Regions from separate parts of the Mus musculus genome. Here all the other regions are reported to be linked to region 3. The links are microRNA targets in miRTarBase. Many come from high-throughput screens and were not tested one by one. Region 3 holds a microRNA gene; each other region holds the end of a gene's coding sequence.

Region 1 (4,123 bases), not on the chromosome of region 3:
CATTCCCTTGAGCATCTCTCATGTGTCTGGGGTTTTTAATACTAAAGGACAAGTGGGGCTTGTCTCACACTGATGGCAGGAGTCAGCGAGGGCCCATGTCGGTCCTGTTCCCTGTCCGTTAAAGGGCCACCACACGCACTGCACAACACACAGACAGGGCCGCCATGAGAACCCAAAGGGCAAAGCGAGCAGGTCTACATGGTGTTATAGCTACTACATATTTGGAATGTACAGAAACCTCTCCATAAACATTTCTTAAAGACACAATTTTCTGCAGGTACAGGTCCCAGAATGACAGCTGCCTACATCTGAAACATGGTAAGATCAACTCTCTCGGCCCCTGCTGCTGACTTAGCTCTTAACGAGGCGCTTGCTTGCGGATCTCCTCGCTCTCACCAGTTCCGCTCAGCATGGTTCCCAAAAAGAGGAAAAGGCCACCCAAGTCAGTCTAGTGCGGATGACCCAGTCGCTCGTGGGTTTTTACCCCAGCTGTGTGTTTCCGACGCAGTGTGCCTTCACGTCTATTATGCCTTTATTTTATATATATACATATTGCTATTTCTCTGTTCTCTTGCCCTCAATATTATTTTCGCAGCTATTTCTTACTGACCAGTGGAAAAAAATCAACCTTTAAAAAATGTATATATAGGAAGCAGCCTGACATCCCCCACCTGCAGTGGGGATGAGTCTGAGGGTCACCTTTGAACCCGTCTCTGTCCTGGTACATGGTAAAGACTCGGTTGAGATGATGTGTGGGCAGTGTGTTTGTAAGGAGGGAGATTTGTGGGTTTATCATTTTCTTTCTATTTTAAAATATCTTCTACTGAGTGTTTTCCTTTATGGGTAATCATTGCTAGACCTTACCAAAGGACCTGTAAGTCAAACCTGATTTGTTCATTTTTATGCTAAGTCTTTAATGTTGATCCACATGACCCAGGAAACTGGCTTCCTAGGTAAATTCTGGGTCTTAAGTTTGAATTGACAGGGTGTATCCATTCTCGACCACAGTTGCCAATGTATCTGCTGTGTTCTTTCTCTAGAACCCTGTGCAGAGTCACCCAGCCCTGCAGGGCTTCCTTTGGGTCCTCTTTACCTCTTGCCTTCCTCGACCGCCAGCCCCTAGTCCCTTACTGCATTGCTATTATTGTAGCTGTTAGGAATGTGTTATGGCCACAGATTTTACTTCTACAGTTTATCCATTTTGCTCTCGGAGGGATTTTTCCGAAACACCAATGAATGATGTCTCTTCTCTACTCAAGGCCAGCCAGTTCTTACTGCCTGAAGGGTACAGTCGCATCTCCTAGGTGAGATCTGCCACTGCCCTATCGTGTGTCTGTGCCTCGGGTCAGTTGTTCAAGGTTTCTTCTCACTTCCAAACTGACCCATGTGAGCTCTGTCCAGATAAAATTAGCAGTTGCACAAATAGATGGAGAGCACCACCTACGATGGTCCCTGTGCTTGGAAGGCCTGCTCTCTCTACTTACGAACACACCAACCTGGGCAGCATCCCTTAGAATGGCCTGCAGTACGGATGGATGCTCTGGGCCAAGCCAGGGAACCCCATCCCAGCTTGAGAATTTACTTAGGGTCCTGAACTTTCAAATGATGTTTCCCTATGGAAATCTCCCAGGGTACTGGCACCAAGTAGATTTAAATTTCCAGTCGACTACCTGGGCCCTCTAGTCAGCTTCTTAGTCTGGTCTCCTCATCTGGAATGCATAACTTGTCTTTAGCCAATAGGAACTCAGAAAGGCCCCTCCCTCCTCCCAGAACCCTGCTGCTTACTCTCTTGAGAAACTTTCTTTTCTTTTTCTTTTTCTTTTTCTTTTTCTTTCTTTTTTTTTTTTTTTTTTTTTTTTTTTTTTTGAGAAACTTTCTTGATCTTCATTCTGACTTACCAGGTTTCCAAATCCCCAGCTGGTACCACAGTTGCTCTATCCAAACCTAACCTCACTGATTTAGCCTAAGGCTCGATGGCTTCTTCCATGGACCACCTCTTGACATCAGTGGCATCACACCCAAACGTAACACAGTCACAGATGATGGCTACCTAACTGAGTGGCTACTAATAACGGTCTTCTGAGCCAGCCACCTAGGTTTGTTCTTTAGTTCACAGGGGATGATTCGGTTATAATCCCAGCCCCAGGATACATCTGGCTTCATAGATGAACAACCTAGAAAGAAGCTTGCATATACACACCTTGTATTGTTTCTGTTCGTTTCTTGGTTTCATCTCTTTAAGACAGGGTCTCATGTAGCACAGGCAGACCTCCAACTCACTTATGTAGCCAAGGTTGACCTTGAACTTTGATCCTCCTGCCTCCACCATCTGAGTGCTGGGATTACCGGCATGTACCACCACCCGTGGTTTGCTGGCACTGGAGACCACGCCTGTTTTATAAATGTGATCTTTTCATTGCTGATCGCTTAGGAATAGTTTACCCCACCTTTGCATGTCCAGCCATGACGGAGAAGGCCCTCGGAAGTACAGTGTGCCCAGGGCCAGCTCTCAGTCATGGACTAAATGCAGCTTTTGCTTCAACAGTTTTAGAGCTACCTATTTCGTGTGAAATGCACTGCAGTACTTAAGAGTTGGAACTTGATTTAATACCTTTCATGATTATATATGTAATCATGATTTCATATGTATGTATGTATATATTATATACTTGATATATTTGATATAAAAGCTGAGTTTGATACAAAATGTTTGATGTAAAATCTGCTTATTTTTTTGTCTTAAAATGCACTTCAGCTGCCTGTTTCTTTAATAAGTCACAGAAATCTTTGAGATTCTCGCCACTAATTTTTTTTTCCTGAAGGTTAAGGAGTCTTCTTTGAATATACTACAACAAAACAAAACCTTCCCCTGTCCCCCAATTCTCCTTGAGCCCCCAGCTGCTGCCCCCCATTGCCCTAGAGCCCCCAGCTGCTGCTCCCCCCATTGTTCTTGAGCCCCTGGCTGCTGTCCCCCATTGTCCTTGAGCCCCCAGTCGCTGTCCCCCATTGTCCTCGAGCCCCCAGCTGTTGCCCCCCCCATTGTCCTCGAGTCCCCAGCTGCTGGGTGAAGCCTGGCTTGCTGCACTTACTGCTTAAAGCCACTAGTATCGTGCCCCCCCCCCCCCTCTCTCTCTCTCTCTCTCTCTCTCTCTCTCTCTCTCTCTCTCTCTCTCTCTCTCGTTTCCTGGATGGGCCACATGGTCTTTGAAGTCACCACTCACACACCACCACCACCACCACCACAGTCTTGTGCAGAGAAAACCTGGGAGTTACGAGATATGTGCAGAGCATAGAGGAACCCAGGCGGCCATCCAGAAAGAGTCCAGTGAATTAGTGATGACAGAATGCTTGCTTTCCACACCTCTCTTCTTCCTTTGCTGTAAGAACTCCTGCACCGGGGCTTGCCAGCCACTAGTGCTTATTAAGACCTGGAGATGCTGCATCGAATGGGACAGAGAGGGACCCCACTGTCATGTGCTACCTGTGCCACTGGAGGGTGTTTGACAAAGGAGTCTTGCCAAGAAATCTAATGCTGCAATAAAAATAAAAGATTCTTGGCAGCCAGCAGTAGTATGCACGCCTTTAATACCAGCACTTGGGAGGCAGAGGCAGGTCAGCCTGGACTACAGAGTGAGTTTCAGAACAGCCAGGGCTACACAGAGAAACCCTGACTCTAACCCGCCCCACCCCCACCCCCCAAAAAAAGGTTCTTGGCCCTCAAGACCTCAAGAAAGTACTCTGCCATGGAGGAGGGCCCTGTGACAGTCATCTGTAGTCCCTTCTGGAAGAGCTGCAGCAGAGAGCCCCAGGACTGGTCTACCCAGGTCTCACAGTCTCTGGTCTTGGGTCTGCATGGGGTGAGAGAGTAGGGAGAGAAACCGGGGCCTCTAATTAATTCATCTAACTTCTGATCTGCACCGCCTCGTGGTGCTGCCACAGGGACCCTTTTGTCTCCCTTCCCTAACGTGCCACCGCCCAGACTGCTTCTGTGTGACAGTCAATTGCCTGTGTGGTTCTTCACTTCCTGTGCAGATCCCCTCCGAGGCCTCTTCCCCTCCCCAGAGTGGTTTTCTGGCGCCCACAAGTACTCAGAACTACTACTGATTACGTGGGTTTGGTTTCT
Region 2 (4,123 bases), not on the chromosome of region 3:
TTGGTTGGGAAAACCTCAATCTCCAAAAGCCCCGAAGCAGCTGTTAGCAGTAGTAGACCTTGAAACGCAAGGAAACTAAGTTCACACAGAACCCCAGGGATCTAGGTTATGGGGTTTGTTATTGTGTCACCATGCCCAGCAGCCACCATGCAGAGACTAATCAGGGCAGTTTAAAAACAGGGTTGGGATGGATAGACACAGGCTATGGGAATGGAGTAGACATACTCATCTAAAATGATGTAAGAACACCAGTAACCAAAGTGGGGGGAAACAGCATAAACCCCACGGGTGACCCGCAACAAGTAACAAGGGAGGCAAAGGCAGGCGATCTCCAGTTCAAGGCCAGCTAAAGTGGAGGGAGGGGGGCAGGAATTCTTCTTTAAGTACAACACATAGTAAAATTTTATCTTTTTTTCCTTAGTCCTTAAAGGAAAGAAATTAAGCCTCCCGGTGCCAGTTTGAAGAGAAGGGCCACCCCTATGGCAGCTAAAGCAAACCATCCGGATCACTGCTTCATGACTTCAAGCCAAGACTTGGGACTTCATGTTAGAGTGACTGGTGTGAATTTGAGCAAAGCACCATCTTGGGATAAACGGCAGCACCTCCCTAATCCACCATGGATAGAATGGGATACCTAGCCCATCTGCCCAAGGATGGTGCCCTACAAGTGCCAAGTGAAGAGAAGCAGTAGATACCTCCGTGAGTGGCTCAACTCCTTGCTTCCTTAGGACTATACAACTCATGCCCAGGGCTGGGAAGATCCATTCAGAGAACCTCCCTAGGTCAGCGTGCTGAACTCGAGCCACATGTCCACCTGGCCTGCAAGCTGTAAGCAGTCCAAATAACCAGCTCTGCCAAGTGCTTAGGACTGCTTAGCTCACTTGTTAGCTGAGATGGACACCATGGCCACTGTGTAAATCCATTCTGTGCTAAGAACCACCAATGTAGCCTTCCCCTCCCAGCCTGAGGTGCTAAATAGAATGCCTAATACACTCACCCTGCTTAATGTTTTCACTGCTTGGAGGAAAACATTAAGAGTACACTTAAACTCTTTTTAAGTTTTAATGTAATAAAAAATTCACACCTTTATTGTCAAGTATTTATTTATACCTACAAAAGAAAACAAGATGGTATCAAAAGGACAATTTACAAACTAAGAATAGTAGTAACATAGCTCTGAGCATCCTGTGCATAACATCACACCTACAATTCAAGTCTCAATGACAGGAATGTGTGGAGAGACCAGCAAGGGCGTTAGCAGAGCACTGATCCCAAGCAAAAGCCACCAACCTTTTTAGATGAGAAGTCTGCACAATGGATGGTTAGGGAGAAGCAGCCCACAGCCTAACACCTAAGCCCTTTCCCTAAGTGAGTAAACCATAAACGGCAATTAACCCAGCTGGAAGGGTTTGCCTGCACCTGTGCTGACAAAGGACAGACAAGGAGGCACAAGTCACTTGCGCCAAGTAGGAAAACTGCTAGTTTTCTGCTGTACCCAGGCCAAAAGAGCTTATGAAATATGACATCTGCTACTTATCTGGATTATGCCTCTGCTGGAGAGGGGAGGTTAAGCAACCTAGCTACTGCTTCATCCCCGGAGGCAGTAATAGAAGGGGTGTTTTTGAAGAGTGACAGGAGCACAGGACAGCCCATGGTATAATGCTTAATAAAAAATAAATCTGAATTTGGTTGTAGAAAGTATCTGTAACAGGCTGGTCAGCATCAGTGATTAGACACTTGCTTTTGGCAGGGTGAGAGACAGACAAGACAGGACACACTTTGGTTTCAGAGCACAGAGCAGGGTTGCCACACATCTGTGCCTACCATCCCCCCTCAGCTTCATAGTCTGTAAAACGGTAAGGAAAACAGAAGAATGCCAAGCATGCTGACAACCTACCTGTTATGTTACACACTGAATCCTATTTTCTGAGCCCCTCAAAACCATCCCTTTCTCTTCCTGAAAGAAACCTCAAAATTGACTGTTACCGTACAAAGGAGCAGGCACCCTCAGGGCACAGCCAAAGAATGCAGTGGAGCCTCCTCCCTGGAATGAATTTGAGCGGCCCAGGTAACAGCCACACACTAGCCCCACCACTACCATCTACTAGAGGCGCTGGGGCATCTGCTCTCCTGTCCTGTTTAGGTGATAAGAGCAGAATTTTCTTTCCAACTTCATCTGCTGCTCTTCCAAGTTCCAGGAGCATTTAATAAAGGGGTGAGACGAGCTCACCCCTACCTTCACACTCCAGAGAGTAAGGAGAGCCTGGGCTTCAGCCCTCCATGGCTACTACCTACCTGTGAAAAACTGAGGGCAAAGGAAAGCCCAGAACAAGTGCCTCCAGCTGTTAGAAAGCACCTCAGAGACCAGGCTTTGAGGAGGCAAGCTCTTTAGCAGTCCTGCTCAGGAGAGCCTGACCAAGTGGGCAGAGCAGCCCATGAGGTCAATCCTACTCTAAGAATACTGTTTAAGAGGAAGATCCGCCCACTCCCTTGCAGTCCATCATTCCCAAAGGTGCTTTCTAAATGCTGCTCGGAAGGCTCTGCTGAGCGCTGATGCTTACCGCTCAGTGGCTGATCTGGCTAGAAAATGACTTTCAGATGGCCCCTGGTTATGTGGGGATAAAAATCCCAGGCAGCCTCTACCCAGATGCCAGTCTACCTAGTAAAAACAACCCTTTATAGTTTTTTAAACTTAAAAAGACAACGCTTGAACTCAGAAATGTAATTTCTAACTCAACACTAACCTGGTTAATATTTAATAACTGCAGGAACAAGTGGGGAGGGGGCATGATGACAGAATCGATTAGGAATTTTTAACTGTTGAATGCACATAAGAAGCCATCAGCCAAATGACCAACAAAGCAGTCTTAAAAATTCATCAGGCCTGAGTAATCGAACTTCAGTAACTTAAACCCACCATGGGCAGTGTGCATGGAAATCCCTCTTGGCTCCTCCCTAAGGAGAGCAGTCTAAAGAACAGATACCACTTCCTGCAGAGCAGTCCCTCCTTCCCTACCCACCCTCCCATGGATAAACAGGCTCCAACAAAAGTGCCTAATACCTTTAAGATGAAAAATAGCTCAATATCCTCAACATGCATTAAGCTGGGGGAAAGAAATTAATTCTTTCCAGTCAGTTATGTGTATATATATTTTTTCTTACAAAATCTGTAATTATAGACTGGATCTTTTGGGTGGGCAGAAGAAACCTGGCAGTGAAATTTTAACTATCTGCATTAAAAAAAGATAAACCGTAATGGTTGAGAAAAGAAAAAATAAAAATGAAAAGGTCTAGAAGGGTAAAAGACAGTGTTCCTTTAGATGTGTAATTCATCTGCACGAGTCACTCCTGCCATGCAGTTTCATTTGCGAGATGGAGGAGGGGGAGGGGGAGGGGGAGGGTACTGGTAAGCAGTCTGCCCCATGTAGCCTATCATATTGGTAGCTCCTGGAGGCTGTGCAAACTGCTGTGACATCAGTGGCTGTGGCTGCTGCCCAGATCGGCCTATCCCACTAAACTGCTGGCTGGAGCTCTGAGAGCTCCTCCCTGCTGAGGCAGTGCTGCTCGCCCCGTAAGTGCCAGCAGCATACTCCTGCGCCGTGTAGCCACTGGTGCCATAGGCAGCTGCCCCATAGGTGCCTTGAGCATAGGTGTATTGGCCTGCTTGTGCCCCAAAGGCAGAATTTGGGCTTCCATAGCCACTGCCATTAGCATAACTGGCTCTATCGGTTTCACTACGATCCCTGTAGCTTGTAGAATCTCTCCGGCCACCATCCTTGACCCCTCGAAGCCTCCGGTCACACTCGTCCTGATACATCAGATTGGGATTGTTGGCTGAAGAAGTAGTCCGGTATCGTGAGCGGCCTCCTAGTGGGAAGAAAATGCCGAGTATGTGATCCCAACAAACTGAACATAAAGGGGCACAGAAATACTCAACACATGTTCTTCATCTGTAACGCTAGTCTCTAAGTTAATACTTCACTCAACTTGGTGCCTTTTAGAGTCTTCTTGATAACAAAACCAAACTTAACCTGAGTGTACCACACAGCTGTAGATCAACTGTATGCCTCGGTTAATACTATGCTATGAAATGAGGTAAAATTACCAAATTCTCCAAAGGTAT
Region 3 (4,123 bases):
ACTAGGGGCCGTCCCCGCGCTGCGGTCGCTGCCGCTGTCCCGGGCGCGCGCCTCGGCCTGGCCCGGCCCGAGCCCCGGCCAGTGCGGCCGAGAGAGTTTGAACTCCGCGAGAGTCTGAGGCGCTGGGCGGGGCCTGGCGCCACCAGTGCGCTCGAGGCTTCTCGTAGTGGGGAAACTGAGGCAGAAGGCGAGCGAGGGGCTGGCGGGCTCCCGGGCGTCACCCCCTCCCCCAGTTTGGCGCCAATGGGACGAGAAGGTGGGGGTGAGGCGGCCACCCGGCCACCCGCTGAGGCTCCGCCCCCTCCAGGCTGAGGTCTGGAAGGGGTGCCGAGGTGACAGCGGGCTGGGGAGGCTTGCAGGGATCTCCCGCCAACTAACTCACAGCCAGGTTCCCACAAACTCGGGCGTCACGCGTGGAGGTGCAGACGACACCTTCGAAGGCAGAGAGCCCCTAGCCTTGCAAGACAGACTTGGGGGCCTTGTATCCAGCTGGGCACGCGACACCCAGGCTGCAACAGGCTAGGCCGGTTGGCCTCGGGCCTGTGCACGCTTGCACCCACCCTGTAAGGGGTGCTGCCCGCCTATGCGGAGCCCCTAAGGCTCGCAAGAGTGGGGCTCACCCCTCCCTCCCCTGTGTGAATTTCAAGATTGGGAAGTCACTCCGGGTTTGTCCACTGTCCAGTTCCTCGCTCTTTGGGGGTTGGGGGGGGGGTGGCCTGGAGGCAGAAAGGATTAGAGAAGAGGCTTGGTGGGGGTAGGTCTGTCAATTTAGACAGGCCGCTGCAAAGAGACGGGGCGGGGTGAAGGAGGTGGGGCCGGTGGGGCTGACAGCCCTGGGACACTGGCCTCTGGGCCCAGGCTCAATGGGGACTTTGGACTCACTGGGTAGACAGAATGGAGGGAGAGTGGGAGTGGACGACAGGGCCCTGAGCCCTGAAGGTCCAGAGCAGGGGATGCTCAGGTAACGTCCACCTGTGGGGTCAGATGATTGAGAACCAACCGTGAGAAAAATCGGTCCCCTCCTTAAGCCATCTACTTCTTAAAGTGGCTGCCTTCCTAAAAAGCCACACCAGATTTCCTTAAGACGCTGAGCTGCAGGGGCCCTGAAGTGGCCCGTGGTGGGGCTCATGGAAGCGGGGTTCTCTGGAGGACAGCCAGCCAGAGCCACCCCCATGTGTCTCCTGATGGAGGGAGAATGCTCACATTCTCTGTGCTCAGGGATTTGAGACTGGAGTGCATGCAGCCCCTGCAGGCCAGTGTGCCCACATTCACGTCTTGCTTCAGGTGACCAGAAGTCAGCAGTTTCCCAGAAGCCCCGGAGTCGGGGCATCCTCCACTCCCTCTTCTGCTGTGTCTGCCGGGATGATGGGGAGCCCCTACCTGCCCACAGTGGGGCTCCCCTGCTGGTGGAGGAAAATGGCGCCATCCCTAAGGTTTGTGGCAATTTGGATGCACCGAGACCTAGCCGGAAGTAGACTTGGCAGATACAGATAGGGGTATAGGCCCGAACTTCACTGATACACGTGCAGATCCTAAAATGTGCAGAGGGAGGGCGCTTGCCTGCTAGGTCCCCCCCCCCCTTTCCAGCCCCACTGCAGCCTCCCAACCCACAGTTATGCCTTCCTTGCTGGTGGGAACTTTATGAGGTGAGGAAAAAGGATCCATATATCTTACCCCTGGCTCACAGTTTGCAAGACTCCAAGCTGGGGAGGGGGTAGAAGGTCTGGTCGGGTCCTCAGATAGAGAAATTTGGGGAGGGAAGCCCCTGTAAGAGGTGCCCTTCCAGCCCAGCCCTCCCCACAGCACACCCCAGTCCAGTACCTGCTTCCCGAGGCCAAGGCCCAGGACTCAGACAAGATCTGCGTCGTCATCGACCTGGACGAGACCCTGGTGCACAGCTCCTTCAAGGTGGGCCCTGCCTGGCACCTCTCAGCCTCTAGTCTCTTGACAGGGGGAGGTCTCTGCTGGATTTCCACCCTTGGGATTCCCTCCCCGCCAGCTCCAGCCATTATTCTTTCCTTACAGCCAGTGAACAATGCGGACTTCATCATCCCGGTGGAGATAGATGGAGTGGTCCACCAGGTGAGGGTCAGAGGGAGGTGGGGAGCTTGGTGTCTGCACTACACCCAGGTTCCTCCCACCCTTCTTGAGCGAGTCCCCCATGGAACTTTAATAGATGGGGCGTGTCCAAAGCTCAGAAAGAGTGAGAACCCAAGACTACCTGGTACTCCAGAGATGGAGCCAGACTCCCAGACCTGCACACTGGGCTCCTTCTGGTCCTGTCTTGTGCAGCCCTCTTTCCCCTCTTACCCCTACTGCCCGGGACCCAGTTCAAGTAATTCAGGATAGGTTGTGGTGCTGACCAGCCTGTTCTCCATTACTTGGCTCGGGGGCCGGTGCCCTGCAGCCTTGGGGTGAGAGGGCTAACCTGGACTCCTGCATTTGGATAAAACCAGTGTGGGAAGGGGAGTGGCTCCCACTAGGTGAGGTGGGACCACGGGAATCCTATTCTTATCTCTTTAGGAATGGGGTATGGTTGGGGCAGCCTCTCTAGACTGCCCTTCCTCCTCCACTGTTCCTGTCCCCCTTTTGTGGATCACCCCTAAGCCTGTTGGCCAGCAGCTCCCTCACTGGCTCGTTCCCCAGGTCTATGTGCTGAAGCGGCCCCACGTAGATGAGTTCCTACAGCGAATGGGCGAGCTCTTTGAATGTGTGCTGTTCACTGCCAGCCTTGCCAAGGTGAGCCATTGCCTGGGGTCTGGGTCACCCATATCCTCCCTCCCACGTTGAACATGCAGCCCTGGACATTACTCATTCTGAGGTGACTTAACCGCCTACCCTAGTACGCAGACCCTGTAGCTGATCTGCTGGACAAGTGGGGAGCCTTCCGTGCCAGGCTGTTTCGAGAGTCGTGTGTCTTCCACCGGGGGAACTACGTAAAGGACCTGAGCAGGCTGGGCCGAGACCTGCGGCGAGTGCTCATTCTAGACAACTCACCCGCCTCCTATGTCTTCCATCCAGACAATGCCGTGAGTACACGGGACCCAGTGGCTGAGACACGGGACCAGGGCATATGTGGAGGGACCTCCCCAGCCCTGTGTGTGGCGGTAGTGGGGACTGGTAATGTCCTATTACCTGTATCTGCTCACATATCCCACTCGGCCTATGTATGGAGGGTCCTCACCTCTGGCTGGGGTCCCCATCTGACAGTCTTCAAAGCTGCCAGTCACGGCCTGTAATGGGATGGAATGAAGGTAGTGAGTCCCAGTTAGGATCCTGCTGAACGAAACAGTAAGCTTAAGTATATTTGTGGACATTTTGCACACTGGTATCTACAAATGAATTTCACTGTCAGCTGCCAGAAACAAAACAAAAACCAAACAAGTATGTGCCTTGTGGGCAGGAATTGGGCTGGACAGGGGACACCCCGGGACACCGGCGCTCCTCATGTCGTCTCTCCAGGTACCAGTGGCCTCGTGGTTTGACAACATGAGTGACACTGAGCTACACGATCTCTTACCCTTCTTTGAGCAACTCAGCCGCGTGGACGACGTATACTCAGTGCTCAGACAGCCTAGGCCCGGGAGCTAGTGAGGTGTCCTGGGGCCAGGACCTGCCTCTCATCAAGGCCCAAGCCTCTCCCCAGCAGACTGTGGGCGCCTGCCTTTGCTGTTAACACCCCCGGCTGTGTCATGGTCACGGCCCTGGGGAAGAGGTGTCTCCCCTGCCATGTTGCATGGAGGACAGTGAGCCCTTGGGCCCCTGTGTCAGTGCCTTCAAACTTCTTCCCCTCTTCTCAGGGGACCTGGGGGGCCCTGCCTGCTGCTCCCCACTTCTGTCTTATCCACGCTGCCATGTTTCTCTGTTGCCAAATTGGGCCTTTTCGCCCCAGTTCTGCTCTGGGGGTAGGGACAGGGTTTTTGCTGCCCCGTGCCTTGGATTCCCCACCCACCCACCCACCCCCGTCTGAGAACAGTGGACACCCAAGTGCCTTTCATAGAACCCTCTTTACTGGTCAGCTTTTCCCAGATCTAGGCTGACCTGAGAGGAACCAATTTCTCCCCTTTCCCTCCTCCCTCCTGGGATGACGGTGCCCCACCAGTTTGTACGTGGGCAGGAGAGG

What was found. Region 3 holds the annotated microRNA mmu-miR-26b-5p (UUCAAGUAAUUCAGGAUAGGU, at 2,331-2,351, shown strand). A microRNA usually pairs through its seed, bases 2 to 8, with sites in the 3' UTR of a target mRNA and lowers its output. Matches are read on the target gene's strand: a 7mer-m8 pairs with bases 2 to 8, a 7mer-A1 pairs with bases 2 to 7 and ends in A, and an 8mer does both.
Region 1: miRTarBase lists Lef1 as a target of mmu-miR-26b-5p. The part of its 3' UTR that is shown has no 7-base or 8-base seed match.
Region 2: miRTarBase lists Ddx17 as a target of mmu-miR-26b-5p. Seed matches in the 3' UTR shown: 7mer-A1 at 1,210-1,216 and 7mer-m8 at 1,093-1,099.

The regions. Positions count from the first base shown.
Region 1 is chr3:131,204,656-131,208,778 of GRCm38, forward strand. It overlaps Lef1 (lymphoid enhancer binding factor 1), which reads left to right. Exons shown (of 12, transcript NM_010703.4): 11 at 278-318. The coding sequence ends at 312. Among named protein-coding and RNA genes, the nearest start is that of Hadh, 65 kb to the right of the region's middle.
Region 2 is chr15:79,526,651-79,530,773 of GRCm38, forward strand. It overlaps Ddx17 (DEAD box helicase 17), which reads right to left. Exons shown (of 13, transcript NM_001040187.1): 13 at 1,046-3,867. The coding sequence ends at 3,362. Kdelr3 (KDEL (Lys-Asp-Glu-Leu) endoplasmic reticulum protein retention receptor 3) reads left to right here. Exons shown (of 5, transcript NM_134090.2): 5 at 422-1,089. The coding sequence ends at 462. Among named protein-coding and RNA genes, the nearest start is that of Kdelr3, 12 kb to the left of the region's middle.
Region 3 is chr1:74,391,994-74,396,116 of GRCm38, forward strand. It overlaps Mir26b (microRNA 26b), which reads left to right and starts at 2,317; the gene lies at 2,317-2,401. Ctdsp1 (CTD (carboxy-terminal domain, RNA polymerase II, polypeptide A) small phosphatase 1) reads left to right here. Exons shown (of 7, transcript NM_153088.2): 2 at 1,285-1,433; 3 at 1,804-1,908; 4 at 2,026-2,082; 5 at 2,647-2,739; 6 at 2,844-3,029; 7 at 3,463-4,123. The coding sequence ends at 3,591.